5 linked regions of the Rattus norvegicus genome follow. The protein of the gene in region 2 interacts with the protein of the main gene of each other region in a biochemical or structural test. Links are inferred from orthologs where the notes say so. Each region holds a gene or a part of one and is shown on either strand. Other genes may lie near its edges.

Evidence for each region.
Region 1: the proteins of Pex19 (region 2) and Abcd2 form a complex in vitro, tested with the Homo sapiens proteins (3 studies listed by BioGRID and IntAct, with this or other methods). The link is inferred for Rattus norvegicus from reciprocal best matches to the Homo sapiens genes PEX19 and ABCD2.
Region 3: the proteins of Pex19 (region 2) and Pex13 form a complex in vitro, tested with the Homo sapiens proteins (2 studies listed by BioGRID and IntAct, with this or other methods). The link is inferred for Rattus norvegicus from reciprocal best matches to the Homo sapiens genes PEX19 and PEX13.
Region 4: the proteins of Pex19 (region 2) and Abcd1 form a complex in vitro, tested with the Homo sapiens proteins (3 studies listed by BioGRID and IntAct, with this or other methods). The link is inferred for Rattus norvegicus from reciprocal best matches to the Homo sapiens genes PEX19 and ABCD1.
Region 5: the proteins of Pex19 (region 2) and Abcd3 form a complex in vitro, tested with the Homo sapiens proteins (4 studies listed by BioGRID and IntAct, with this or other methods). The link is inferred for Rattus norvegicus from reciprocal best matches to the Homo sapiens genes PEX19 and ABCD3.

The regions. Positions count from the first base shown.
Region 1 is NC_086025.1:124,173,569-124,179,070, reverse strand, and holds part of Abcd2 (ATP-binding cassette sub-family D member 2), read left to right. Parts: intron 1-207; coding exon 208-373; intron 374-1,090; coding exon 1,091-1,185; intron 1,186-1,660; exon of another isoform or gene 1,661-1,986; intron 1,987-4,664; coding exon 4,665-4,810; intron 4,811-5,502.
Region 2 is NC_086031.1:87,122,213-87,128,237, forward strand, and holds the start of Pex19 (peroxisomal biogenesis factor 19), read left to right. Parts: upstream 1-2,511; coding exon 2,512-2,581; intron 2,582-4,319; coding exon 4,320-4,429; intron 4,430-4,833; coding exon 4,834-4,999; intron 5,000-5,565; coding exon 5,566-5,651; intron 5,652-6,025. UniProt on the Homo sapiens protein: Necessary for early peroxisomal biogenesis. Acts both as a cytosolic chaperone and as an import receptor for peroxisomal membrane proteins (PMPs).
Region 3 is NC_086032.1:101,804,161-101,809,662, reverse strand, and holds the end of Pex13 (peroxisomal membrane protein PEX13), read left to right. Parts: intron 1-3,179; coding exon 3,180-3,305; intron 3,306-4,221; coding exon 4,222-4,520; 3' UTR 4,521-4,990; downstream 4,991-5,502. UniProt on the Homo sapiens protein: Component of the PEX13-PEX14 docking complex, a translocon channel that specifically mediates the import of peroxisomal cargo proteins bound to PEX5 receptor.
Region 4 is NC_086039.1:156,577,275-156,583,421, forward strand, and holds the start of Abcd1 (ATP-binding cassette sub-family D member 1), read left to right. Parts: upstream 1-2,522; 5' UTR 2,523-2,956; coding exon 2,957-3,859; intron 3,860-6,147. Other genes in the region: Bcap31 (B-cell receptor-associated protein 31), read right to left, coding at 740-831. UniProt on the Homo sapiens protein: ATP-dependent transporter of the ATP-binding cassette (ABC) family involved in the transport of very long chain fatty acid (VLCFA)-CoA from the cytosol to the peroxisome lumen.
Region 5 is NC_086020.1:212,541,193-212,546,694, reverse strand, and holds part of Abcd3 (ATP-binding cassette sub-family D member 3), read left to right. Parts: intron 1-137; coding exon 138-257; intron 258-3,778; coding exon 3,779-3,883; intron 3,884-5,502. UniProt on the Homo sapiens protein: Broad substrate specificity ATP-dependent transporter of the ATP-binding cassette (ABC) family that catalyzes the transport of long-chain fatty acids (LCFA)-CoA, dicarboxylic acids-CoA, long-branched-chain fatty acids-CoA and bile acids from the cytosol to the peroxisome lumen for beta-oxydation.

The sequences.
Region 1 (5,502 bases), on a different chromosome or scaffold from region 2:
TACAACGCCAGTGACTTCCTTTACTGTCCCCAATAAGGCTCTTGACTATTGTTCCCTTCGGTCATCTGATATATTGGGGGTTTTTGTTGTTGTTGTGCCCAATAAAGTGGAATCTTTAGCAATAAATCAAGAAGTTTACGTAGTACATGTTTTTTAAAAATCGTCTACCATGGCTCTATTAACTCACCCTTTATATGTTACTTTCAGATCACTGAACTAGCGGGTTATACTGCCAGAGTGTACAACATGTTCTGGGTCTTCGATGAAGTGAAGAGAGGCATTTATAAGAGAACTGTCACTCAGGAGCCTGAAAACAATAGCAAGAGTAGAGGTGGCCTGGAGCTGCCCCTCAGTGACACCCTGGCAATCAAAGGTGATTTACTTCAGGGTTTGGTGTTGCTTTGTGTAGTTTGTCGGTTTTTTGTTTTGTTTTTTTTTTAACATTTTTCTTATAGGTTATTGTCGTTTTACGAAAAGAACTGGAGGTTTCTTCTTTAGGAAACAGCTTCCGGTAATTACAAGAAACTGATATTTAAATAGCCTCTGTGTTAGTGTTACAGTTGTAGGGGCAGGGATAAGTAGTGGGACCCTAAGGAAATGAGACACTTAATCTCAGGGAAACGGTGTTAGCCTTGTATTCGCAGACAGCACACATGGCTGCATGAACTGTCTGCTTTTAAATCTTGAACCAATAAATAGCATTAGTGATAGTGCCATATTGTTTTTCATTATTCTGGGTTTCTAAATGTTTACCATGTCTTGAAATATATCACTTCTCGATTCCTTTCTCTCTTGTAGGAAATAGGGGAACAGAGTAATTCTAAACTGTGGGGCTTGGTTACATCAGATATAGCTTATGCCTACTAGGCCAAAGATATTGATATTCGATTGTAAAGCTATTTTTATCAGACAGATTTTCTAAATCGATTAAAAACAGGTAGATATTAAGCTGACTTCACGTGTTTCTTCTATGACTTACTAGTGTGAATTATCTTTATAATTGAGTTCGCCCATCCTGCTGTATCATTCTTCCAGTTAAACTAGAAGTAATGAGGTAGCCTTTGCAACTTCAAGCGTTCTTTGGTTACAGGGACAGTCATTGACGTGGATCATGGAATCCTTTGTGAAAATGTTCCCATAATCACGCCGGCGGGAGAAGTGGTGGCTTCCAGTCTGAACTTCAAAGTAAGATGGTGTCCAAGAATCTTCTATTGTTGGCCTCACACTAATAGAAAACAACTCAGAATTCATGTTCCTTATGTTAAGTGCTTGGAGAGGAGCGTGTGGAAAGGGGAGGATCCGAAAGGTATGCACAGTGTCTCAGTTGCAGACGCAGTAACTTCCTCAGAAAGCAGAGTGAAAAGAGAAGCGCGAGCTCTGCCGCGTTGGTGCCAGATTGAAAATCAAATTACAGAACACTGAGGGGACTTGCGACATAGCTCTGGGCAAACAAGAGGAAATCGCGGAAATTAGTATCTGGGAATGAATTTTAACTTTGTATACAGGTTGTCAGGAAATATGTTAAGAGGATACTTTTACATGCCCTCTGAAATACTGTCATTCCCCAGAGGTCCATTATCAAATTTAGTTTTACTAATCCAGGTTTCCTGACTTTCATTTTGACTTTAAATGATCAGAAGATTCATGGACTCAACTCTAGTTTTTGATCCTGTTGAAAATAATTTATTTAATATCCTGCATCTTAATTGCAAAAAAAAAAAAAAAAAAAAAAGAGTGCCAAAAAACATTTTGTAAACTCGAGGACCTGGTTTTAAGGCTTTGTGAGACATAAACATACACATTACACTTCGTATAAAATGGCTGACTGGCTGTACTAGTTGCTTACGTATCCATACACATGCAAGTGTCCCGTCGGCTCCTGCTTTCAGGGGATTTATTTGGGGTTGAGCTATCTCGAGGCTTTCGGAGTGAGGCACAGCTGAACACCAGGCAGGAACATGTTGAAAGGAAGGTCCTTACTGCAAGCTGGGTGGAGAACAGAGAAAGAGAATTTGTGTCAGGCGGAGGTATGGCCCAAGGACACATTCCTACTAACCTCCTTCCTCCACATGGGACTCATGCCCGAGGCTTTCCACCACCCTTCAGAATGTGCCAGAAATTGGAGACTTAGTGATCAACACGTGATCCTACGGAAGACATTTCAGATTTAAACTATAGGAACTATGATAAAGACATTTGAGCTGTTTGATCAAAGGCATGACCAGTCCCCCATTCAAATTATGAGCATCACAATACTAATGATTTTGGAGTAGATCCTAGCCTAGGCTCAGTTATTCGAGATATATTTGCAGTTGTACAGGTTTACTGGAAGTTGAAAAGAGAGGCCAAGATGTGTTGAACACAGGGAAATCCTGTTAATAAATTGAAGAGGAATTGTTTGGCCGGGATTTATTATTCAATTATAAACCCGTAGAGTGGTTTTATTATTAGGATATGACATGTGCACCAATTAGCTACTTATTGCAAATATGTAACATTTTATTTTTCTCTTAGTAGTTCAGCAGTTTAGCTAGCTAAGTGGATGAAGTACTTGCCTAGCCCACAAAGCTCGAGTTCAGTGCTCACCCTGAAAAAAAGGAATGAAACTGGTTCTGTTACTGTTTGGGTCCATTTAGGTAACATAATACTAGTTCTCATTGCTTTAGTTTTTAAATAAAAAGATGACAAAGCTTTCCAAGTTGATGTCTTCTAACCGTGTCTCTGTAAAACCATCATACACTGAGGAAAAACTCAGAGCTAAGTCTCTTGTATGAAATAAGCAATAATCCACCGGGAGAGTCTTATGGATTTTTAACGTACTCTGAAGATAGACATTGTTGTAACATGCTGTTTATAGGTTGTTACTTTTCTCTTCAGAACGTGTAGTTTAATTCTAATCTCCCTGGAATAGGATAAAAAAGTTGCATTTCTTCAGTATTGGTTGGGAAATATACGCTTTTTAAGGAAAATTACATTTATCCCTTTGTTGGTCTTCAAAATTAAAGTTATGACTTAACGGGGTGGGGAAAATCCGAAGTGTGAGATTTTCTTTTCCTCGCACTGTCTTAACATAATTTAACTGAGAAGTTATGTTAAGAAAATATAATCATAATTTACTGAGAAGTTATGTTAGGAAAATATTAACATGAAAAAAGTCCTCGGTTATCAGTTTAAAAGTGTTAAATTTCTAAGAACTCCTGACGGGAATTGATAGTTTAAAACATTTTAGGAATGCGCTGCTCACCATGGCATGTACCTTCCAAAACTCTTTTTGGATGGTGCTCAGGTATCTAGCAAGTGAATCACCCATCATCAAGAAGTCTAGTGGAAGAGAAGAACCAAGACAGAGCTCCTTCTTGGTAGCTTCTCCCAGAATGTTCTGGAACACTAGCAATCCACCTTTGCCTTTCACTCTTGGTGTCTTCCTTTTTTTTTTTTTTTTTTTTGAAACTTGGATATTTGTATCCATTCAATGAAAATACACATGCATAGACATCCTCCATTCCATGAAAAGGTGCATGCATAGACATCCTGTGGATTTCTATCTCTCTTCCCCTCATCTTCATTTTTGCATCCCTGATTAGAAAGCAAATCAAATTTGTAAGCTGCGTCCTGCTCCTTGCGCATGTGGTCCCCTGCACATGTCTGATAGGAAGGCAACCTCTCCACCCTATCAAACTGAATGCAAGTCAAGAAGTCTAACTATTTAAACTTAATAGATAACAAAGGCAAGTGATAGACGGGAGTTTCGGTTTAGTGATTAATAAGTAAACTTGTTTTATGGAATGAATAATATATGGATATGATCTCCATTTACAGAGAGAAGGTGATTATTATATGTATATATGTTCTTCCTAAATATCCTTAAGGGATAGGTTCCACGACACCCAAATCTGATAACATTCAACCGTTCAGTTTTATACAGGAAAAGAGTCTGTATATATTTGATACAGATGCAGCCTTTCTTTTCTTCAAGTAATTACAATCCCCAGTTGGCTGACTCCTCAGAAGGGCAGTTCTGACTATACGGAGACTTGACTATATGTGTTTAAACCCAACCCTAGGCATATGCTACACTACAGTTCCCTTGCTTTCCTCTGTCTTGGCTTCATAAACATATTTTTTACATCTATAAATGCACCAGACTTAGACTAATATTATCTTTCTTTTATGTGCTTTTGTGATCTTTCAGCATTCCATACACTAATATAAAAAATTAAGAACCCACCTGGCTCCTGGGATAAATGTGCTTTTAGTATATTCAACTTTCAGTTGCATTGGATTTTATATTAGTTTAATTAGATAGTAATATAAGTAAAATAAAATCTAATTTTAACTTAAACCCTATGATTTGATTTTCTCTCATGTGTAGTTAACTTCTCTATCTGTGTGCAGATTCAAAATATCTCAGTTGAAGTGTCGGAGAGCCAGTGTTCTTTCCAAAAAGAGTCAATATTTTTGCAATTAATTATTTTATGGTACTTTTAGCTCCATAGAATAGCCGAAGTTAAACTCGAAGTTGCAATCCTGATATATTTTATTTGCTGTCTTCACTATCCAAGATTATCATATGGGTTGGATACTTTAAAAAAAAACATTTTTAAATGCTCCCAGATGAAATAATTATTGAACATTGCAGCTTATGATTCTATTTCTGACTTCAGGTAGAAGAAGGGATGCATCTTTTGATAACCGGCCCCAATGGTTGTGGGAAAAGCTCTCTGTTCAGAATCTTAAGTGGGCTCTGGCCTGTGTATGAAGGAGTCCTTTATAAACCACCTCCCCAACATATGTTCTATATTCCACAGAGGTAAGACTTTTTTTTGTATCAAATAGAAACAGTTGCTTTTGTGATTAAGTTGCGCTCATCTCTCAGGCCCTTTAGGTTACGCTCATTTAAGGTATTTTCACGTAGAGAAACTGTTGGGGAAATAAGGTGAGGCTCAGTTACTCCCTGAGTTCTGTCTTACTGCCTTGACGGTAATTGACCCTGGATCCATGCCACTTCCTGTAGTTTTCAGATCTGACAGCATGTTAAGAGTGTTCAAAGACTTCAGATGTCTTAGGAAAGAGTAAATGGCTCCAAAGAATAATTCGATGTCATGTTGCCTTCTTACAAAAATATAGGGCTCCGGTCCTATTCAGGCCTTTCTATCACGTTTTATACTTTAGCGTCCTGAGGTTGTCCATTCATGCTGCAGGGCCTTCTTCAGGTCTTTACTGTGTCTATGCTAGATAATAAATCTTAACTACCTTGACTGACATTGCATTAAGACTAAGACAAGCATAGAAAATCACATTGTTTTTCCCCAAATCGTTGGCCATCTTCCCTCATAACCACACAGAAGCATCTGAACACAAGGTTATATACTTGAGAATTAGAGTACTCGTTGTGGCGAGAGAAAGTCAACTGTAAATGAAAAATCAGCTCCCTTGGTCCAGAGATTTCTCCAAGTGTCGGCCAGGTTCAATAGACACTCCGTGTATTCTCTCTGGGTTATC
Region 2 (6,025 bases):
AAAAGTATATATGTATGAGCAGATATAACTATGTTCTTCCCCACCTTTCTTTTGTACATGTCAGGAACATAATCTGTTTTTCATTCAACACATTTTAAAGTATACACACACACACACACACACACACATATGTATACACACATACATATATATATATACACATACGTATATATGTGTATGTATATGTTTAGGTTTTTCTCATCGTATATTGTAAGTTATGGAAATGCCTCATAGTCTCTGGATTATTTGTAACCTTTTGCAGGTATCAGCATTGCTGCAATAAGAAACTTGAACATACATTGTGTGGGTGGGGGAAGTGTGCCTGGGACAGAGCACACAGGACTTTAGTGTTTCCAGATTTAGGAGTTGCTTTCTTAAATATAATCCTCAAACTAAGACTACTTTCTCAAAAATTTGTATATTATGAGAACATTTTCTCAAGTTTTATACATTCTTCAAGTTCAGGCAAGAATCTGGCTCAGCAGTTCACACCCATAATTCGTATTCTTGGAAGCAGAACAATTGGCTAAAGAGTGAGACCCTGTCTCAAAGAAACAGATATCTCGGGCTGGAGAGATGGCTCAGCGGTTAAGAGCACTGACTGCTCTTCCAGAGGCCATGAGTTCAAATCTCCACAACTACTTGGCAGCTCACAACCATCTATAATGAGATCCGATGCCCTCTTCTGGTGTGTCTGAAGACAGCGACAGTGTACTCTTATACATAAATAAATCTTTATAAAAAGACATTAAGAAGTGGCTATCTTGGTGGTTAGAGAGATGGTTTAGCTGTTTAGAGTAAATACTGCTCTTACAGAAGACTCAAGTGCAGTTCCCAGCACCCACGTCTGGTAGCTACCAACGACTTATACTCTTACCCCAAAGGGCTTTGCCACCTCTTGCCCTGAAAGCATAATGTGTGCATGCATGTACAATTTTAAATAATTAGAAATACTTTTAAATATCGACAGTCAGATCTCTGAGTTCTAGGCCAACCAGTGCTATGTAGTGGGACCTTGTTTCAAAAAATGGTCTTTTTATAAGTTTACAAATTAAATTTCAATTGTATAAAACACTCTAATGGGAGTTTTGTAAACAAAGTTGACAATCTCTGCTTCTTGAAGTTTATCTAACTGGGGGAAAGAATGGATGTATGTGTAATAATTGTAAATATCAATCAAGAATCTGAGATTAATCAATATGTGGTGGAGAGCCATTAAGTCCTTAGGACTTGTATGGAAAAGTTTCATGAGCAGGATAAGGCCTGGTGGTGCATATCTGTGATCCTGCTGTTTGGGAGGTATAGGCAACAGGATGAATGAGTGATTCTAAGCCAGCCTGGGCTAAGTGAGCCCCCAGTTGAAGTAAGCAAAAAAGTGGAGGAGGATGTTATAAAATAATATCAGTACCCACTCTATATTAGGAAGGCAGAAAGATCCATGGGGGCTGAGGGGAGAAAGTAAGCATTGAAGTAGGATGCTAGAAATACAGAATAGAAAAAAGAGCCAGGTATGGTGGCATGCCCATTTAATACCACCACCCTTGAGGCAGAGGCAGAGGTATTTTTTAGTTCAAGGCTACCCTGGTCTACACAGTGAGTTCCAGGAAAGCCAAAACTACACAGGGAACCGTCTCGATAAAATAAAAACAAAACAAGCTCACACACACAAAAGGAAAAGAGAAATAATTCAAAGAAAGAATCATGTTTGTTTTTAGTCTGCTTAATTAACATCTGTGTTTCCAATTCTATTTCTAGTCAACCCTTACAGGTAGGACCAACTCTGATTCATTTGTAGGTTTCACTGTGCTCAGCATGCTTGTATACAACGATGCTCACTACACGCTAAAAATAAATTCGGTAATCTTTGTTTATCTGTTTTGTGTGTATGTCAAGGAGCATACTGCAGAGGTCAGAGTCCAGTACATGGTAGAAATCTCTCCTATCATGTGTGCTCTGGGGATGAAACCAAGATTGCCTCAATCTGGCAATCCTGTCTCAATCTAAAAATTGCTCGTTTAATGATTTCATATTTTAGCTAAGCCGTGTGCTGTAATCTCTGTCTTTGGGAAGTGGAGACAGTAGGATTGGAAAACCCTGCCTGAAAACAAAACCTCTCCAGATTAAAGATTCCAGATTAAAGAGACAAACACCACACAATAAATCCCTCCCACCCCTTCTGCCCGTCCCCTCAATCCAGCTGGGCTTGGTGGGTCAAGTATTTGGGAAGTGGAGACGGGAGACCCCGATTTCTGGACCAGCTTGAGCAATTTATCTAGTTCAAGGCCGTGTAGCTCCAGTGATGGAGTGCTTGCTTAGTACGTCCTAGGTTGGAGTCCCAGCACAAGAAAAAGACAAAAACAAAAACAAATCCAGTCTCTTGTCCCTTTAAAAATGGCGGTCCGGCAGGTCGAACGATATTATTGGCTGCTCAAGTCATGGGGGCGGGATTGAGGGTGGGGCATGTGGTGGCGCCAGTGGTTCCACCTCCTACGGCAAGTCGGAGGCAGCAAGATGGCGGCTGCTGAAGGAGGTTGCGGTGCTGGGGTCGAAGCGGACCGGGAATTGGAGGAGCTTTTGGAAAGTAAGAGCCCAAAATGGGAAAGTCCAGAAGTATCGGGGGAGAGGACCCATCATGGGGGTTAAGTGAACTTGAGATTTTTGGGCGGGGCGGGAGAATCTCTTCAATGGTTGGCGGGGGAGGTGGTCTGAGTTCGACCCCGGCCCTCTTTATTAGCTGAATCTGGGTGTTCACCTTAGTCAATGATCTATCCAAACCGTACATCTCCCTGCGAAGGGGAAAACTAACCGTAATGAGCTGTTTCACGACCCCCTTACAAACTTCTCTTGCTTTAGACTGTCGGATTGTTGTTGAGGCAAGGTTCTCGATATCCCAGGCTGATCTGTAACTCGCGACAATCTTCTGCCTCTGCCTCTGGGAGTACCGAGATCACAGGCTGGACTCACCATGATCGGCTTCAGTAAATTATTGAAATCACCTCCCCTTTCAGTAGCAGGATTCTCAGAACAAAATAACCTTTAAGCTCTATATGTACGTGGTAGAATCTTTCTTAACCCGAAACGCCTTTTTACCTCACAGTCTTTTTTTCCCTCAGGCTTTTATCAGACCCTTAGTTCTTTCTTGCAAGTAGTGTGATTTTGAGAGCCTGTCTTGTGTAGTCTATTTAGGCTGACCTCACACTAAGGACTGCAGGCTAGCCTTGAACTTGTGATTTTTTCCGGTCCCTTCCTCAGAATGCCTGGCATCCTTTTTTATCCTTTGGAAAAACAAAGTGAGCCAGTCCCAGAGGAAACGGTTTCTTCTTCCTCAAAAGATGGTGGACCTTCGTTTCTGTCTTGGCCTTGCACTCCACTCCGGTTTTCTGCCCGAGTGAAGCCAGTGCCCTTTCCCTAGTCCTGGCAAGCAGAGTGTTGGTTACAACACAGGCTTTTCAGGGCAGAGGTGAACCTTTTATCTCTTGCTCAGTCACAACGATGTAGACAAGTAGAAAATGAACAGATATAGCAAGAGGAGTGCTCAGTGACTGGATTGGCCCATGGATACTGCATATGAGGCCAAGGAGGCTATAGGTGCCTACTGAGAACTAATTGGAACATAACTTAAGAGTTAATACCTTCCTGTAGAATGCATACTAGTAGTTAGACCTGTGGAAAGCTGGGTGGTATATTCTGTGCTTTCTTACAAGAAGTTAATTAGCTAAGGCCTCAGTGAATTCAAAGAAACAAGGCTCTCGGGGCTAGGGATTTAGCTCAGTGGTAGAGCGCTTACCTAGGAAGCGCAAGGCCCTGGGTTCGGTCCCCAGCTCCGAAAAAAAAAGAACCAAAAAAAAAAAAAAAAAAAAAGAAACAAGGCTCTCCCCTCTTCAAGTTAGACGAAATGTGTCGAACTTTTAAGGGAATTTTTTTTTTTCGGAGCTGGGGACCGAACCCAGGGCCTTGTGCTTGCTAGGCAAACGCTCTACCACTGAGCTAAATCCCCAACCCTTAAGGGAATTTTACAATTTGCCCTTTTAAAGATTTCTCTGCCCAGCTTTTATTTAATTCTTTCCTCCTAGTTCTGAGGTGAACACTGGTTCTGTGTAAAAGGGTTTTCTTCCCAATTGGTCACAGTAAACTAGATGTTTCCCAAGGAAGGGGGGAAGCCTATTGACGAGTGGTCCAGACAGGAGAGCAGGAAGAGAGAGAGAGAAGTTCAGGAGAGTGGTCACTTTATATCATTTTCCTAGTAGTTTGCTTCAAATCACACAGCTCTCTAGCCTTATCCATCCCCAACATACCCACCATGTCTCTTGTCTCCGAAGGTGCTCTTGATGATTTTGATAAAGCCAAACCCTCCCCAGCACCCTCTCCTACCATCTCGGCCCCCGATGCTTCAGGGCCCCAGAAGAGATCGCCAGGAGACACTGCCAAAGTATAAATTCTATCCCCTTAAGGGAGGGGGAGGATGGGTATGCAGTTCAGAGCAGGGGTGGGGCAGGCCCCTGTGGGCCAGAGGGGTGGCTGGGAGGGTACCTTTGCCTCATACTGCTGAGTGTACTTCCAGGCCTCAGTTCCTATGAAACAGGGATAACGAGGAAGTGCCTCGAGTAAAGAGCAGTTTTAAGTGGTTGGATTTGTGTGCTGCCTCAGATTATTCCTTCAATGGCCAAAGTCTTTGCTTGCTGTCCTCCTGAAAAGAGGCAGATGGAATGTTCAGTGGAGGTGCTTGTGGGGGAAGATGTTTCATTTCCCAAAACCTACAATCTGAGCTCCTGTAAGAGGCTAGACCCAGGGTGATGCTGTAGGAGGCAAATTTTGTAAACCTCTCCCCTGCAGGATGCTCTCTTTGCCTCCCAAGAGAAATTTTTCCAGGAACTGTTCGACAGTGAGCTGGCTTCCCAAGCCACCGCAGAGTTTGAGAAGGCAATGAAGGAGCTGGCTGAGGAAGAGCCCCATCTGGTGGAGCAGTTCCAGAAGCTCTCAGAGGCAGCTGGGAGAGTGGGTGAGGAAGCCCCAAACACAAAATGCTGGACAGACCTCTTAATCGCTTAAGAATAGCAGGATTGTAAAGTTGATAACAGTCACGATGTCACAGTCACAGAGTGGGGCAAGGCAAGAGGAAGAGACATGGGAAGCTTGCTTACTAAAAGAAAAGGGTAAGATGTTTTGGGAAGCAATAAAAAAAGGTTATTCCAGTCAGGCGTAGTGGCGTATTCATTCAATCCCAGCACTTGAGAAGCAGAGGGAGGTGAATCTTGTGAGTTTGAGGCCACCATGATCGACATGGTGCATTTTAGAACAGCTAGAACTGCAGAGTGAGACGCTACCTCAAAAATAAATATGATTCTCCCAAACCAACCCTTGTAAAGGAGTGTTACTGTAGCGAACAACCAACACGTTATCAATATAGACTTACGGCATGACCGTGAGGTAAGTACAGAACAGTGGAGATTTGGAAGAGGTAGTAGTTTCCTAGGAAATGCTTTATATCCAGACTGGTAACTAGGCAGTGTAGACAAGCTGACAGTTAAAATCCTAGGTAATCCTCGTTCTTTCCATCTCTCCTAGGCAGCGATGCAAGTTCTCAACAAGAATTTACTTCTTGCCTAAAGGAGACATTAAGTGGGCTAGCCAAAAATGCCACTGACCTTCAGGTAAAGGGAAAGGAATAAGATGTTTCCTGAGCATTCTCTCAAAATAGATGCTCTTGAGGTGGGCGGTGCTGGAGCGATGGCTCAGTGGTTAGGAGCACAGGCTGTTCTTCCACAAGATTGGGGTTCAATTCCCAGCACACACATGCCAGCTCACACTTACCTATAACTACAGTTCCAAGGCTTCTGACACCTTCACAGAGATGTACATGCAGTCGGAAAAAAAAAAAAAAACATAAATAAGATTAAACTTAAAAAAAAAAGTCTAAGGGTTGGGGATTTAGCTCAGTGGTAGAGCGCTTGCCTAGCAAGCACAAGGCCCTGGGTTCGGTCCCCAGCTCCGAAGAAAAGAAAAGAAAGAAAGAAAAAAAAAGTCT
Region 3 (5,502 bases), on a different chromosome or scaffold from region 2:
TGTTTGTTTGTTTGTTTCTTTTTTTCCCGGAGCTGGGGACCGAACCCAGGGCCTTGCGCTTCCTAGGCAAGCGCTCTACCACTGAGCTAAATCCCCAACCCCCACGTGTATTGTTATAGTGTTGTAGTGGCTTGAATGTGAATGCCCGCCCCATAGGCTCATAGATTTCAATACTTAGTCACAGGGAGTGGCAGTATTTGAAAAGAGTAGAAGCCATGTCCTTGTTGAAGGAAGTATGTCAAAAGCCCAAGCCAGTCCCCGCAGCTCTCTCTTCCTGCTGCCTTTGGATGTGGATGTAGACTTCTGAGCTACTGTGTCTGCCTGCAGGCTGCCCTGCTCCCCACCGTGAGGATAATGCATTGAAATGAACTGTAAGCCAGCCCCAGTTAAATGCTTTCCCTTATAAAAGCTGCTGTGGTCATGGTGTCTCTTCACAGCAGCAGAAACTCTAAGACAGTATTTTTTGGTGGTGCAGCTGGGAATTAAATATAGACTTTAAGCATGCTAAGCTAGTGCTCTGTTCATGAGCAAAGTCACTGTCTTAGTTAGGATTTCATTGCTGTGAAGAGACACCGTGACCAAGACAACTCTTAAAAAGGACAACATTTAATTGGGGCAGACTTAATACTTTCAGAGGCTCAGACCATTATCATCTTGGTGGGAAGTATGGCGGCATCCAGACAGGCATGGTGTGGGAGAAGCTGAGAGTTCTACATCTCCATCTGAAGGCCACCAGAAGACTCATACTCAGGCTGCTAGGAAGAAGGTCTCTTCTGCAGTGGGTAGAGAGGTCCAGAGCCCACCCCTACAGTGACACGCTTGCTCCAACAAGGCCACACCTCCTAATGTTAGCACTGCCTATGGGCCCAGCATATTCAGACCACCACAGTCACATACTACGTTTCATAAAGAGGTTGTATGTAGCACACTAGATCTGAAAAGGAGGGGTTATCCTTTAAAGACACAGTACAATGAATTTTGGTAAAGTACTTGTTCACTCTGCAATGACACAATAGTTGTGTTAAATTATTACAGCTGCCAGACTGAACAGTAGTCACAGAAATCAACACTTAAAAACTAAAAATTTCCTACTCTACCCACAAAAGTAAAGGAAATAGAAGCTAAAACCAAAGTTTAATTTGCTAGCCAGTGAAGGAAATCTTAATTGATAATTATTACAACAGCCAAAGAAATTTATCTGCAAACAGTAAGTCTCTTTAAGGCTGTTAGCCTGTCAATGAGATTGGTTTCTTAACATTCAGAATGGCATTGCCACCTGAAGATAAGTGAAGGGTGCTGGCTGTATGTTATCAGAGCATGTGCTTAGCATGTGCTTAGCATGTGCAAGGACTGGTGTCAGACCTCACCTCACAGAAGAAGAAAAGGGGGCGAGTTATTTGAGTGGCTTTCTCTGGCTCGTGATAACCCACTAGATCCTGACACTTCACAGTTGCTTGAGGCGGCCGTGGTAAATCTGAGGTAATGATGTAGTTTGCCACTGTGAATAGCTATACAATATGACTAATTTTAAAACTGGAAACACTGATTTATTATAGCCTGAAGTGGAATCTACTAAGCAGTACTGCAAGAGTAGTCAAAATATGTGAAGTCTAAAAGGGTTTAGTTGAACAAAATTTATAAATCTTTGAGAAACATTTTCTAAGTTAATGGTTGTTCAGGTTCTGTTCAGCCACAGAGACTATGGGCAGTTCCTGAGGCTTTCCAGCTGCCCGGTGATGCAGCACTGTTGTCATGTCAAGTGGGGCCACAGAGATGGGGCAGCAGTTACAAACCGACTTCCCCTCCAGGATTTTCTTTTTTTTTTTTTTTTTTTTTCCTTTTCTTTTCTTTTTTTCCGGAGCTGGGGACTGAACCCAGGGCCTTGCGCTTGCTAGGCAAGCGCTCTACCACTGAGCTAAATCCCCAACCCCCCAGGACTTTCTTAATAGAAGTTGGGGATGCTGTGTTTGTCTTTTTGTTTTAATATCTGACAGGGTCTCGTGTGACAGATTACTTGGAAAGAACAAGGGGTTAACAGGAGAGAGAAGGGACGAGAGGATGGGCTAAATATCTCCAAGTGCATTGTACCCATTTATGAAAATGTCATAATGAAATCCATCACTATGTATAATTAATATATCCTAATAAAAATGTTTAAATCGGGCTGGAGAGATGACTCAAAGGTTAAAGAGCACTGACTGCTCTTCCAAAGATCCTGAGTTCTATTCTCAGCAACCACATAGTGGCTCACAACCATCTGTAATGGGATCTAATGCTCTCTTCTAGTGTGTCTGAAGACAGCTATAGTGTATTCACATAAAACAAATAAATAAGTCTTTTTTAAAAAATGTTAAAAATCAGTGAGATTTCCACTCCCATACAGGTTTCCAAGTTCAAACTGAGTCCCAGAAGCAGTTTTTGGACTTCTAGTTGCAAAGGAAACAACATTTCAGACTCTAACTGTAACTGACAAGCTCCCACTGATGTATCATTGGGAAATGATTAGTCAGCAGTGTGATAACATGGTACACAGCATAGTTGAGAAATGTGAACAGAATTATATCCTAGTCTGTCACTCTCCCAAGTAATGGGTGTGCTTAATCAAACCTGGATACCCGAGAATTGCACCTCAAATCTTACTGCCAATTAGCATTTCACAAATGAAATACAGAAATGAGTGTTTGCCATTGAACCCAAAATAAATGAAATATCCTTCCCCTGAGTATTCTTTTCTTCTGAGTAAACATGTACTACCACTTAAAATAAGCAAACAAACAAAAAACCCTGCTATTTTGAATTTTGCCTAAAAAAAAACCCATGAAATTTCTTTTTCATGTTTTATAAATAATTATATACTATCTAAGAAACTTTTCCTAGTGGACTTCAATATATAAAATGTACACTACTCACCCTCTATGAAGAAAGGGAGGAAAGAATTGTCAGCCCCTGACTGAAAGTGAGAGGGTAAGAAAGGGGAAGAGTTTGTAAGGAATGTGATAGTGTGGTAGTTCGTTCGTACAACACTAAGCCTGCCTGCCCTTCACAGTGATCCTTGTGAGGAGCTACTTAGGAAGGGAGGCCCGTCCACTTGGCAGCTGGATTTGTGCCGCTTACAAGCCACAGCCAGTGAACATCTGCATTTTGCTAACTTTTTAACCTACCATTGATTTCGTCTGTAGACAGCACCAACTGGGCAAACGGTGAGGACGACCATGTAGTTGCTAGAGCAGAATACGACTTTGCCGCTGTGTCTGATGAAGAAATTTCTTTCCGTGCTGGTGATATGCTAAATCTAGCCCTCAAAGGTAACAAGTTGTAATTATCTTTAGTTTTTAATAATTGTAAAGGTATTATTTGAAACTGAAACAAAGCACCTTACAGATGGTTACCAGAGTTTTGCTTTTGTCTGTTTTTTTTTTTTTTTTTTTTTTGGTTGTTTTTTTGTATGTTTGTTTGGTTGATTGGTTGATTTTTTTTTTCTTTCTTTTTCTTTTCTTTCCTCCTTTTTTTTTCTTTTCAAGGAAGAGATTGAGACAGGGTCTCACACTGTATAGCCCAGGATCACAAGTGTTAACCTCCACTGTCCCCGTTATCCTCTTGTCCCCTCCCAACCCTACTGACCCCTTGCTCTTCTCAACTCATCCCCTTTATTATTTTGTACATGAGACCCTGTGTCAGACACAGTAAAGTCAGAGAAAATGCCTCATACATAGTATTAGAAGACTTCCCTGTATAGTCTCTTCTAAATTCAAAATTCTTGTTAATCCCTATACAGTATACAATGCTTTTCATAGGACTATTTAGTATGCTATATAACGTATACTTACAATACTTTATTTTTTCTATTTATTATATTTTATTACTTTACTAAACTGTAAATTTAAGAATGGGATTGAAGCGTGACACTATCTATTGTCCCTACTACCTAGGAGGCTAAAGCACTTAGGTGACTGAGATTCCATCTCTTTATTTTAAAAGAAAAATGGATCTAGACCGGTTAGGTGCGCTAATGTTTGCTTTTGAGTGTGTGTGCACATCCTACTCATTTACCTGTCTCACTACAAGTTTCTGACTTTGTTTAGCATACATTATCGTAATATATAAATAAATAAATACACACACACACACACACACACATATATATATATATATATATATATATATATTTTTTTTTTTTTTTATTCCAGAGTGTACTTAAAAACTGTCTCTCTCTTTCTTCAGAACAACAACCCAAAGTGCGTGGCTGGCTTCTGGCTAGTCTTGACGGTCAAACAACAGGACTTATACCTGCAAATTATGTCAAAATTCTTGGTAAAAGAAGAGGCAGAAAAACAGTAGAATCGAGTACAATGCCCAAGCAGCAACAGTCTTTTACCAACCCAACATCAGTTAAAGGAGTCACTACCACCAATTCTTTGGAGGAACAGGAAGCTGCCTTTGAATCTGTTTTTGTTGAAACTAATAAGGTTGCCGGTACACCTGATTCTACAGGGAAAAATGGAGACAAACAAGACCTTTGATGTGTTTCATGTTTGCGGGCAGGTGAACAATATTTTAGAGTATTTTTAAAATTATTTCTTACAGAGGAATTAATTTGCGGTTGAATGAAAGCATTTGCTCATGGCTGTCCCGGGCGTTCTGCTGCTAGAAGTTATGTAGTCACACGCTAGTTGCTGGTCAAGTGATCTGGCTACACTTGATTGTCTCTTGGACCATGAGGACATTTGTTTCACTTAGCTTTTAAGATTGTGGAGATAGTTGTCGGCTCCATCTTATCTCAGTCCCCAGGCTTATTGGATCAATAAATTTGATGAACAATAGAACACACAAGTTGCCTCAGAAGGGATCACTAATGCTTTTTAAAGTTCTGAGTTAGTTGACGTGAAGTCTTCAAAAATTGAGTGATAACAACTACTTATAAGAACAGACAAAAGTCTAAATTTTTATAACCTTATAAAGAAACTAAATAATAAAAATTTTCTGATCTATATTATGTCTGGTGTTGAATTTACTTTAGGCGATGTGGTTTTTACCTGCCAACAATTGATACTATCATCTTTTATTGTATTTATAAACGTTTGTTGTTAAGAGGTCACTGGAAGCACCGTGAGGGAGATGGTTCTAGAATGACAGCTCCTTAATCTCTTTACAGCATCACGAAATGGCATCCTGAGCCATCACATGTATAACCAGATCTCATCCTGAGCCATCACATGTATAATAACCAGATCTCATCCTGAGCCAGTCACATGTATAACCAGATCTCATCCTGAGCCATCACATGTATAACCAGATCTCATCCTGAGCCATCACATGTATAACCAGATCTCATCCTGAGCCATCACATGTATAACCAGATCTCATCCTGAGCCAGTCACATGTATAACCAGATCTCATCCTGAGCCAGTCACATGTATAACCAGATCTCATCCTGAGCCATCACATGTATAACCAGATCTCATCCTGAGCCAGTCACATGTATAACCAGATCTCATCCTGAGC
Region 4 (6,147 bases), on a different chromosome or scaffold from region 2:
AGACAGGCCTTGAACTCCTAATCCTGCCCTCACCTCGTAAGTGGTAGAACAAAGTTAGTTGGTCCTACAGAGCATCCAAGACTAAAATAGTTCCATCAGGGTTTTGGTCTCTGCTTTCTGTGAATTAAATGTCAATGTGGGTTTTGGCAAGACTATTCCTTAGGTATTATTAACTATGGTGATTTTATAACACCCTAATTTAAATAGAAATAGTATTGATGTACTATAAATGATTTAAAAATTAATATCTAAATAACTTAGAAAATCCTGTTTTTTATTAAAAGGGAATATGGCTTCATCCTTCATAGGCTGATAAATGCTCATGAGCCTACTAAGCAATGCCAGTAGGAGCTGGTTAGGAGGTCAAAAGTCAGCAAATCAGCAACAATGTAAGCCAATGGTGCAAGTATTCTAGTTTCCACACAACTATTCCCCACAGCCCTGAGGCCCAAGAATAGGCAAGAGAATATTACTCAAAAAATTGAAGATATATCTTTCTTTGCAAAGACCAGAAGACAGTGTGCACAAGAATGCAACTGAAGAGGTGACAAAGCAAAACAGTGTTCAGGATTGGTGATAAAAAAAATCATACTCCTGCCACCTTTACCCAAGACAGGTTTTACTTGTTTCCATGTAGCCTCAATTTCAGGGTCCACCAATTCTGCACACAGAAACTACAAGGTTCAGGGTTTGATAGCACCTTCCTCATATGCTTGCTTTGTTGCTCCAATAGCCATACCTTTTGGGAGAAATGAAGGGAATGCAGAGAAGCAACACAGCAAAGACCTCTGCGTAGAGGAAGGTGGCAACTGCAGTCCACTGCAGACTCATCCTGTGACTTAAAGGTTTCCAACAGATGGATAGGAGCTTGTTTCCTGACAGGGCACAGAAGAAACAGGAGGAACCATGAGAGCTGAGAAGTCAAGGACATCTAGTTCAGGGGCCTTGGAAAGGCTAGGGTTGCCACTCTTCACAACAGACCACAGGACTCTGCTTCAGAGCTTTTAAAACCCTGGTTGAAACAGGGCTTAACCCAACAGCAGATACTTGACCAATGATGCTAACCAGGCAACAAACTTCCCTGGACAGTTACTTTTGACCCTCCAGCAAGTGTGTCACTATGACTAGGTACTTTTGTTGATAATTCCTTTCCCTGGTGAGTCCAAGAGACTTAGACCTGTTTAACTTAAGAAAATGTTTCTCGTAAGAATAGGAGGACCTTCTCAGCACCCACCAGGCTCCCCTCCAAGGCTAGTCTTGTATAACTAAGAAAATGTTTCACATAAGAACAGTACATAAAAAGGAGGGCCTTCTCAGCACCCATCAGGCTTCCTTCCAAGTCTAGAAGCCTCTGCTGCAGGAGCTACATGTCTTTCGGTCGCTGCTACAGTGTGACTGGGACTGCAGTGTTCATACATGTATCTTCTGCAAACGCCACCGCTTAAGCCTCTGTACAAGAAAGGAGGCCCATTTCCTCCAACGCTTATGAGGGGCAGATAAACCTAGCAGCCTCCAGCCTCCTCCTCCTAAAGCTGCTTTTTGAGAATTAAACAGGCCTTCAGAATGCTTCCACGAATTCACAGGGTGTAAGGCCTTCACATACATACTCTCAAAAGGCCCACAAGAGCGACTCCTAGAGGGCGAGAATCCAGGCCAAAAGCAAATACAGGTTTCCACAGAGCACGTCAAGGCCTTACTCGGAGAAAGTTCCAGAACCAGAAAAGTCTCTCCCGAAGCCAAGAGACCTCCCTGCATCCTAGTAAGCCACAACGCCTAAGTCCATCGCTCCAGATGGCCTTCGAGGAGCTGGCCCTACCTGGGCAGCTCTTCCGGGTGGGACTTCTCCACTGCACCCCCCTCGCGCCCCCTAGAGTCCGGCTCCACCTGCCTCCACAACATCCCTCTGCCTGATCCCGTCCTAAACTTACAAGGCCCGGATCCCTACACTTCCCAGAACCCAGTCTTTGTGGGATGCTCGCTTTCCTCCCTCATGAGGGGACTCAGGAGAACCTCGGTGGTCCTAAAGTCAGCCATGCACGCGGACGCAGCTTACCGAGTTTCAGCCTACGCGCACGCCCCACTGCAACTACCAAACTCTCACCAAAGCTCAGATCCGCCCCCTAGCCCACGGCCGGAAACCGGAAACGTGCGTCGGGCCCCGCCCAAAATCGTCCTGAGGCCCCTAACGACTCCGCCCATTGTCGTTTCCCGCCCCGCCCTTAGGCGCGGCTAGTTACCAAGGTCTTGAAAGGAAGTAGAGGTTGGCAGCTGAATGCCTCGCCTCCGACACTTCGGACATGCAGGGGTGGAGCTTGGAGGAGACTTGGCGGGAAGGCTAAGGCCGCTTCTCTAGCCTACGCGGACATGCTTCGTCTCTGTAGTCAGAGAGGGGGAGGGACCCAGCGGTAGGGCGAGAACGGGGTGGGGCGCCCCTAGCCCGGACTCCGCCTCTTGCCTCAACTCTGCCTCCTCTCCCCCAACCAGCACCCCTGGGGAGGGGTAGGTGGGTGGGGATTCAGGGCCTTGGTGTAGACGCTGTGGTTACTGCCCGGCTGCAGAGCGGACAAACACGCCTAGTGCCCCGGGGAGGGGCGTCACGGGGGGGGGGGAGGAGCAGTAAAGAAGAGGGAGGTGGAAGGGAAGAGACAACCTCTCTGTTTAAGACCTCTCGAGGCTCTGACCTCAGGGGCTAAGGGACAATCTGTGGAGGGAAGCCAGTTTCCTCCACCCGGGCTGCCTGAAGAGGCCACGACCCTGGAGGATTCTAACCCAACCGATCCAGGGGCCCCAGCACCACCCCGAGGGCCTAAAGCAACAGTCTCAGGGACCACTTCAAGGTTTCCAGTTGCCTAGACAACGAGCCCTGGGTCAGAGAAACAGCCCTTCCAGGATCTGCCCGCAACTGTAGCCTCGGGCAGCAGTTCCAGCCCTCAGCCTGCTCACCAGTCCAGGTGACATGCCGGTACTCTCCACTCCCTCCCGGCCCTCGCGGGTGACCACGCTTAAGCGCACAGCTGTGGTCCTGGCCCTCACAGCCTATGGAGTCCACAAAATCTACCCTCTAGTACGGCAGTGTCTGACTCCTGCCAGAGGTCCTCAGGTGCCAGCTGGGGAGTCCACGCAAGAGGCCTCTGGGGCCACCACAGCCAAGGCTGGCATGAACCGGGTATTCCTGCAGCGGCTCCTGGTGCTCCTGAGGCTGCTGTTCCCCGGAGTCTTGTGCCGGGAAACAGGGCTACTGGCCCTGCATTCTGCTGCCCTGGTAAGCCGAACTTTCCTGTCTGTGTATGTTGCCCGCCTGGACGGCAGACTGGCCCGCTGCATTGTACGTAAGGACCCAAGGGCCTTTAGCTGGCAACTGCTGCAGTGGCTCCTCATCGCCCTTCCTGCCACTTTCATCAACAGTGCCATCCGCTACCTAGAGGGCCAGCTGGCTCTTTCTTTCCGAAGCCGTCTAGTAGCTCATGCCTATGGCCTCTACTTCTCCCAGCAGACTTACTACCGAGTAAGCAACATGGATGGACGGCTTCGAAACCCTGACCAGTCTCTGACAGAGGATATGGTAGCCTTTGCTGCTTCTGTAGCCCACCTTTATTCCAACCTGACCAAGCCACTCCTGGATGTGGCTGTGACCTCCTACACTCTTCTTCGAGCTGCCCGATCCCGAGGAGCTGGTACAGCCTGGCCCTCAGCCATCGCTGGCCTGGTGGTGTTCCTCACAGCCAACGTGCTTCGAGCCTTCTCTCCCAAGTTTGGGGAGCTAGTGGCAGAGGAGGCACGGCGAAAGGGGGAACTGCGCTACATGCACTCTCGAGTGGTGGCCAACTCAGAGGAAATTGCCTTCTACGGGGGCCATGAGGTGGGGCAGGTTGAGATGCTGCTTACATAGCAGAGGAAGTGGCTGGGAGACCTATTGCAGCCAGCTATGAGCAGTAAGGAAAGCCCAAAGCCTACTCCAGCTAATGTTAAAGTTGTGAATAGGCAGTGGGACAAGCTTGGGGGTAGTAGGCATTGGATGGCTGTATTCTTAAGATGCAGAAATGGAGAAATGGCACCATTGGGTGGGAACTTCCCTGTGCTGGCTGCCTGCAACCTCCAAGCCACTTCTGCTTCCTTGGTAAAATTGTCTTGGACTTGAGCTTTGGATTCTATCTACTACATCACAATTTGTGATGCTCTGGTCCAGCTTGCTCCAATCTTGCAGTCAACCATTCCTACAGCCAACTGGGAGGAATTAGACTCCTATCATCTGGGAGCATAGGACCACAGCCTGCCTCCTAACCTCTCTCGCCTCTCTGGGCCCTTTGAAGGCTGGCGTCCAACAGAGTTGGCTGGCTGGGCTGTCCGGTATTATGGGCATGACTCAGCCCAAGCAGAGGTTAACAAGCAGAGCTCAGCACAGCGGCTGCAGCAGCAGTGTTGCTGCTCCGGGTCAAGGCTGTCAGAACCCCAGGCATGTCTGGTTAGTGACTGACAGGATTGGCAAGCAACCTGCCTAGTTGCCTCCCTCCCTCCCAGGGATAGGGATGCCTGACCCCAGCGTCTGCCAAAGAGGCCTGACAACCTTCCTCTCCTACCTCCCCACCCCCACCCCCAGTGTAGCCACCCTTCTACCCAGATCCCAGCCACTTTATGAGGTGGGCTGGAGCCAGGGAAGCCTGGCAGACACTGGGAAAGGATACTTTAGGCCAGTGTAAACTTTATTCTCTGGCAGCCCCTCCCCTTCTTTGTGCCAATGGTTGCAGCTGCCTCAGGCCTTGTTCTGGCTACTGGTTTCGGTTCCCCAGTGCTTGGGGCAGGGGAGGGATACAAAAGCACCCATTTCATGAAGGCCTGTGTGTTTCCTGGATCAGGCCACTTGCCACAGGACCTTGTCCCATTGGCTGCATTTCATATAGACAATCAGTTTTGTCCTTGACTTTTGGAAAGGATTTGTCTCTACATTCTGCTAAGAGAATTTTTGCTGGCCCAGGTCAGGTTTCAGATTAGGAGGAAAAGTGCATCACCCTTACTATAACCCCTCTCCCATTCTCTTCTGAATGCTGGGCTGCAGGGCTTTGGCAAGCTGCCAGGGCCTTGGGTGAGGCACTTGGCACAATACCTGTAGCTATGCCATCAACCTTAGCTGGTGCTGCTACCAGCTTGAGGCATGAGCCTAGATTACCAGGGTGCTGCAAAGGTGGTGCACTCACTTCAGGAATGAGAGGCTAGGTTTTGGAAAGCTGGGCTATATGAGCACTTCTAGGCAGAGAGCACAAAAGAGAGAACACTGGTATTTAAAAAGACTTCCTCTGGGCTAGCTTCAGGAAATAGCACATTAAACAATAGAGGTCACTTGCTGGGACCCAGAGACCTTGTGTAAACCCTTGGCCTGCTTGTCTAAGCCTCATCTGTAAAGCTGTATAGGGTGATGGGCCACCATGAGTGGATTGACTGCCCTTGTTGTATAGGCACATGTCCCACTCCAGTCCCACTGGTTGCTGTACTGTGGACATGGGCCTGGATTCTAGTCAAAAATTTATGAAAAAGGGACTAACTGGCTGGCTGGCATGCAAACAGCAGGGTATAATATTCTTACTAGAGTTTCAGGCAGTGCACATGCATGTGTACAGACATGTATACAAACCTTCTGCTTAAAAGAACAAAGTAAATCTCAAGTCATCTTCATTTGTAAAAATCTGGTTATTAGGTTGAGGCAGGAGGTTGATTGTGAGTTCAAGGCCAGCTTGGGCTACATAGTGAGTTTCTGAGCTACAGAGCAAGGCTGTCTCAAAACACTATAAAAGCCAAGCATGGCGGTGCACACCTTTAATCCCAGCACTTGAGAAGCAGAGACAGGAAAATTGCCACAAATTTGAGGTTGACCCTGGTCTACATAAAGAATTCCAGACCAGCCAGGGCTATACAGTGAGACAGATCTTCTCTCCAAAAAACAAAACAAACACAAAAACAAACAAACAAAAAAAACAACCAGAAGTCTGGTTCTCTAGGGCTGGAATATAGCTCACCTAGCACACTCAAGGCCTAGAATGCCCAAGGCCCTGGGTTCTATCCACAATACCTCAAAACTAACTAAAAAATGTGGTTCTCTTAACATCCCAGTCTATGTGGTCCACATTTCTACACTCCTCGCTACTTCCAGGCAGT
Region 5 (5,502 bases), on a different chromosome or scaffold from region 2:
GCATTGTCCCGTTTCTCTCCTGAGGAGCACCGAGCTGTCCGAGTGGTTGGCTATGGAGTTACTGAGCTGTCTAAAAAAGTAAGGTGAGATGGGGCAGGACGTTAGCTTCTAATAAACCTTTCCGTCTTTGCATACAGGTGCTGAAGGGGTACTTGGACAATGTACAGTTGGGCCATATCCTTGAGCGGGAAGGAGGCTGGGACAGTGTTCAGGACTGGATGGATGTACTCAGCGGAGGAGAAAAACAAAGAATGGCGGTCAGTGCCCTCTGAAACTGGGACCAAATGTTCACTAAAGTCGCTATCAGAGTCCAGAATTCGACTAATTCAGACAGGGCTTTATCTTGTACTCAGCAAATATTATAGTGTGTGTTATTTTAAATTATAATAAAAGTGCTAGAACATGTTTCACTTCACACAAATGTGATATTCTGAAAACTGTGTTAGTTAGGAATGCTGCTGTCCTGTGAGAGGGAAAACTATAGAGTATTAGGTGTAAAGTTAGGCTGCTTTCTAGACAGTGGGCCTGTGAGGAGCCCGGTAAGTCTTTCCCCTAAAGACGGCCTGTTAGCTCCTGCAGGCTGCTGTCCCTGAACAGCGGAAAGCATTAGAAACACCATTTCTTCATCCTTCTCTTTGTCCTTGTTCCTCCCTCCACGGTCAGTTACTTGTAACTTTGTTTCTTCTGTCACTAACCTACTCCCGAAGTTACTTAGAACTTTTTAAAACTTTCCTAGTACAAAGAAGAATTGGAAACACTTTAAATTTTATAATAACAAAGTTATCTTGAAGATAGATAGCGGTTTTCCTCTCCCGTATTCCATCCTCTCCTTATTTGTTGTTCTCTAAGCTCCCACAGAACAGCCCAGCTCCAAGTTCTAAATGCTCCCACTGTCCTAACAAACAACAACATGGTGGGGTCCACTGTAGCAAGACCAGTCTCAGTGATAAACACTATGGCCAAAGCCAATTTGAAGGAGAAAGTCTCTTTTAGCTTTTGTGTTACAGTTCATCACCTGGTGAAGTTAGGGCAGGAACTCAAGGAAGTAAGACTTGAGTGGAAACCATGAAGGAGTGCTGTGGACTGCCTTGCTCCAGGCTCATGTTCACGTACCATTCCTATTCAGCACAGGGCTGCTTGCTCAGAGATGGCACTGCCCGGGGAGCTGGGCCTTCCTCCATCAATTAGTAGTCAAGAAAGTAGGCTAGGGATGGCGCAGTATTAAAGAGCACTGTTTGCTCTTCCAGAGTTCCTGGGTTTAACACCTACTACCCACATGGCATCTCGGCTGTTGGTGACTACAGAGGTCTACATTAGATGTCTTGTGGATTTACTTCTTGAGACAGGGTCTGTCGTTGAATCTGGAGATTATAGGTTGGCTAGGCTGGCTGTCCAGCACGCCCACAAGATCCTTCTTTTCTGCCTTCCAGCACTGGATTAGAGTTGATGCCACCATGCCCGACTGTGTTTTTGTGTGGGTTTTGGGGATTTGGACTCAGGTCTTTGTGCCTGCACAACAGGCACTTTACCCACCGAGCCATCTTCCCAGGCTCCCCCCCACCCCCCATTCAGTTTCTGCCTTACGTCTTTACTGCTCAGCAGAACTCGTTTTATATTTGAATAAGAGCTGTGGTTCAGGTCAGTAACAGCTAATGTTTGAGGGCTTAGTAGATGATAGTCAATATGCCAAGAAGACTACAAAGGCTAACATATTATATCTTTTAAAACAGTCCTATGAAATAACTAATGTGAATATCCCAGTCACCAAGGAAGCTATACTTCAATAGTTTGGGGCTCGCCCAGCAGACAGTTGCTCTTAGAATTGGTGAAAGATTGCTTATCAACAGCAGTTCAGACAGAATATTGGTTTAAATACTTGCTTTACAGCTTGCTTGTTTTGTGGAGTCAAGTAGCTGACAGCATGGGGAGAGAAGGGGACACACACACACACACACACACACACACACACACACACACACACGGTGAGAATAGGTTCATGGAGCACAGAGGCACGGGAAGTACTGTCAATGCACTGTCTGTGGTAATGTCTGATGCTTCCTCTTCTTCAGTTCACGCACATAGGTGTGACCCTCAGAAAAGCCATTTGTTCTAGTTACCCACTTGCTATCTATACGTGAATGGAACAGCTGTGTGACGTGTCCGGTATATTGTAGTAGTTTAACCATGGTTTCTGCTTCAGTGAACTTTACATTTTAGGCAGCCACACAGAGAAAGATGAGCTCAGGTTTGCCATATGCAGCAGTCCCATAAGGGCCCACGTGGACTGAGAGAGTGACTTACGCAGACGCTTGGAAGATATCTAGACCAGAGCCAGATACTGGGACTTGAGAAAGAATAAGCTGTTGTGAAAGCACAGGCATGGTTCAAGCATTCTGGAGTTAGAGGCAGGAGGATTGCCATGGGTTTGAGCCAGCCTGGGCTAATCAGAGTGAAAGCCTCTATCAAACAGACAGAAACAGCACAACAGTGAGAAGAGACGGGAAAAAGAGAAAGGGAAGAGTGACATGACAGACAGCCTCTAAGGCCTGGGGCATCTTACTCCTAGTGCTTGATGGGAAGAGGCAGAGCTGGCTGGAGCTAAGATCAGAGCATGGCAGGAGGAAGGGGATGGACCATGGAGATGAGGAGGGAGACGCTGTGGAGAAACTTTAAGTCAGGTGGGGTTCTTTGCGTTACATGTATAGTAGATGCTCTGGCTACATGGAGAAGAGTGGACAGCAGAGAGGGCGGGTGGTTGTCATGCAGGCAAAGAATGAGTACAGAGACGTCGTGGCAGAGACGGAGAGTGTGCGCACTCGAGACTCCACGAGACTGAAAAGGGGGGATGAGAGGGAGGGAAGGAAAGGGGTCAGAAAGATTCAGCTCCTAGGTGAGACTAGGTGAGGGGGGGGAGAGAGGAGAGAGAGAGAGAGAGAGAGAGAGAGAGAGAGAGAGAGAGAGAGAGAGAGAGAGAAGGATCTGGGATTTAGTTCTGAGGCCCCCCCAAGTGTGCACACTGAATGCCAGGTGGGAAGGTACCAGAGAGGAAGCAGGGCAGCAGGGGAGGGCCTCCAGTGGGCACCCTTACTTGTTCCTCAGGGAGGAGTGCCTTGAGGAGAATGGTGCTCAGAAGATGGATTAGGGTTAGGAAGGTGTCTGATGGTTTGCAACATGAAGATCTCCTTTGTGGACATTGACGGAACATTTCCAGGAAATACAATACATTTGGAATATAAGTGAGGAAAATTTTCCACATCCTGCTAATGAAGGAAATGTAAGCACTAGCACTCCCAAGTTCATTTCTAAGATCAGCAGGTTTCAGAAACAGCACACTTCAGACCAGCAGGACAGGCCCGGCAGGTGCACTGTCGGATTGGTGGAACACCGACAGATGCCTTTACTTAAGCAACAGTCGGGGGATTCTGTGCGTCTGAGCCATCTGCAGTCTGACTTCTAAGTTTTGGCTAAAACACAAGCTGGTTTGTCTGTTGAGTTCATCTTAAAACTCAGTTCCAGCTCACACCAGTTTTTGGTTTTTCTTAGCAATGCTTATTTCTCACACATTACATTTCTCCTTTTGTTTAAGATGACAGTAAAAATGATTCATTTTATTTATATTATTTCTATCTCTGGGGTGACACTTTTTAGTTAGGAATAGCTTTCATGTTTTAGCTCTGTAAGACTCCAAAAGTGTACTTACTGAAGTGAGCTTATCCTTTTGCTAGTTTTATCTTAGGCCGACCTCTGTTCACACAGACTGTTTCCTTCTGTGCTTTAGATGGCAAGATTGTTTTATCATAAACCCCAGTTTGCCATTCTGGATGAGTGCACAAGTGCAGTTAGTGTGGATGTGGAAGACTACATTTACAGCCACTGTCGGAAGGTAAGTGTCCCGGAGCGTCTGTATGCCATGTCCACTGCAGGCTTGGAGCCGAAGGCAGCAGGATTGCTACGGAAGGTAATACCTTGCCTTGTCTTTAACCTGGTAACTAATGTCTGTAACAGAACACAAGGACTTGTCAGTGTATTCTAAATACAACTCAGACATGAACACAGTACAATTATCCATGCATTCTAAATCTAACTCTCTTTAGCTTTAGCAATCTCTTAGTTGTGGTACAGTGTTTAAATCTGTTCTTTTCTATCATTACTTACACGCCGTTAGCCAAAAAACACCAAAAATCAAGAAGCCTCTGTTCTTTCTTTTGTTTCATTAACTTTACCTATATATCACTTTTTAAACTAAGAAAAATCAAGAGTAACCATATGGTAATTTAATTTTTTTTAATTTTTATTTTATGTGGGCATGTGTTTGTGGCATATGAGCCCGTTGTGCTTGTATGTGCTTGTGTGAACGGTGGTGTGCATCATATGGTGCATGTAGAAGACACAGCTTGACTCTGTATCTTATCTCTATGTTGTTGACGAGGCAGCTTTCTTGCTGCGCTGGAGTTTGCTGACTCAGCGAGTTCTTGCCCTGTCTCTGCATTCTGAACACGAGGTTTGCAGGCAGTCCACAATGCCCACCAGACAAAATCCAGTACTCATGCTGGGACAGCAAGGGCTCTACCCACCGAGTCATCTCTCTACCCCTTCATTTATTATTTCTTAATTTGTCCGGTTTACTTTATTTGGATAGTATTATCTAAAATAAGTTTCTTTGAGTTGGCAAGTAGGAGGTGGGCTGGGCTACCATTATTTAAATACTTGTTCACTAGGCCTGGTGCACTCTTGTTAAATTTGAAAAGTAATAGTACATTCTATTATTCTGTGTAAATAAATGAGTTACAGGAGTATTTTAACAATTTATTTATATTTGGGGAGTTTACCATAAAAAAGTCATGTTGTACATGTGTGTACACACACACACACACACACACACACACACACACACAGAGTTCCTGCCATTTGGAGGATGGCCAAGGGTCAGCAGCATTGACAATACCTGGAAGTTGTTAGAACTGTGGAGTCTCTAACTTTGCAGAGTAGAACCAGTGTAGTGACAGACTGTCACATGGGTCAAGTGCGTGTGAAAGGGTGAAGTGGGTGCTTCAGGAGTGTCTTCAGTCTTCTCTACTGGAAGACTGAATTGAACTATGAATTGCATTTCTTTAATGGCTTATTTCTCTTCTCTAATCCTTTTGAGTAACTCATATGTGGTTTTCAGTTTTATAGGCATTAGAGATGTTTGTGGTGTTTTCACGCGTAAGACCATATAGACTGTATTGCACTTGGAGGCTTTTCCAGGACCTCTGTGTTGTTGCCTCTTTTGATTTTGAGATGTGTAGGTCTGTAAAATACATCTCATTTGAGGGGAGAAAAGTTACTCGAGGTCTTAATGATAATTTAAATCATACTGGTTATTAAGAAGCAGACAACGAGGGACTGCTTTAGAAGGTTTAGAACCTTCTAAAGCTGTTGCTTTGGTCTGTGCGTGTGTGCTGGTGCTCACGTAGGTCAGAGAACTGTAGTAGTCCGTTCTCTTCCACCATGGCAGTCCAC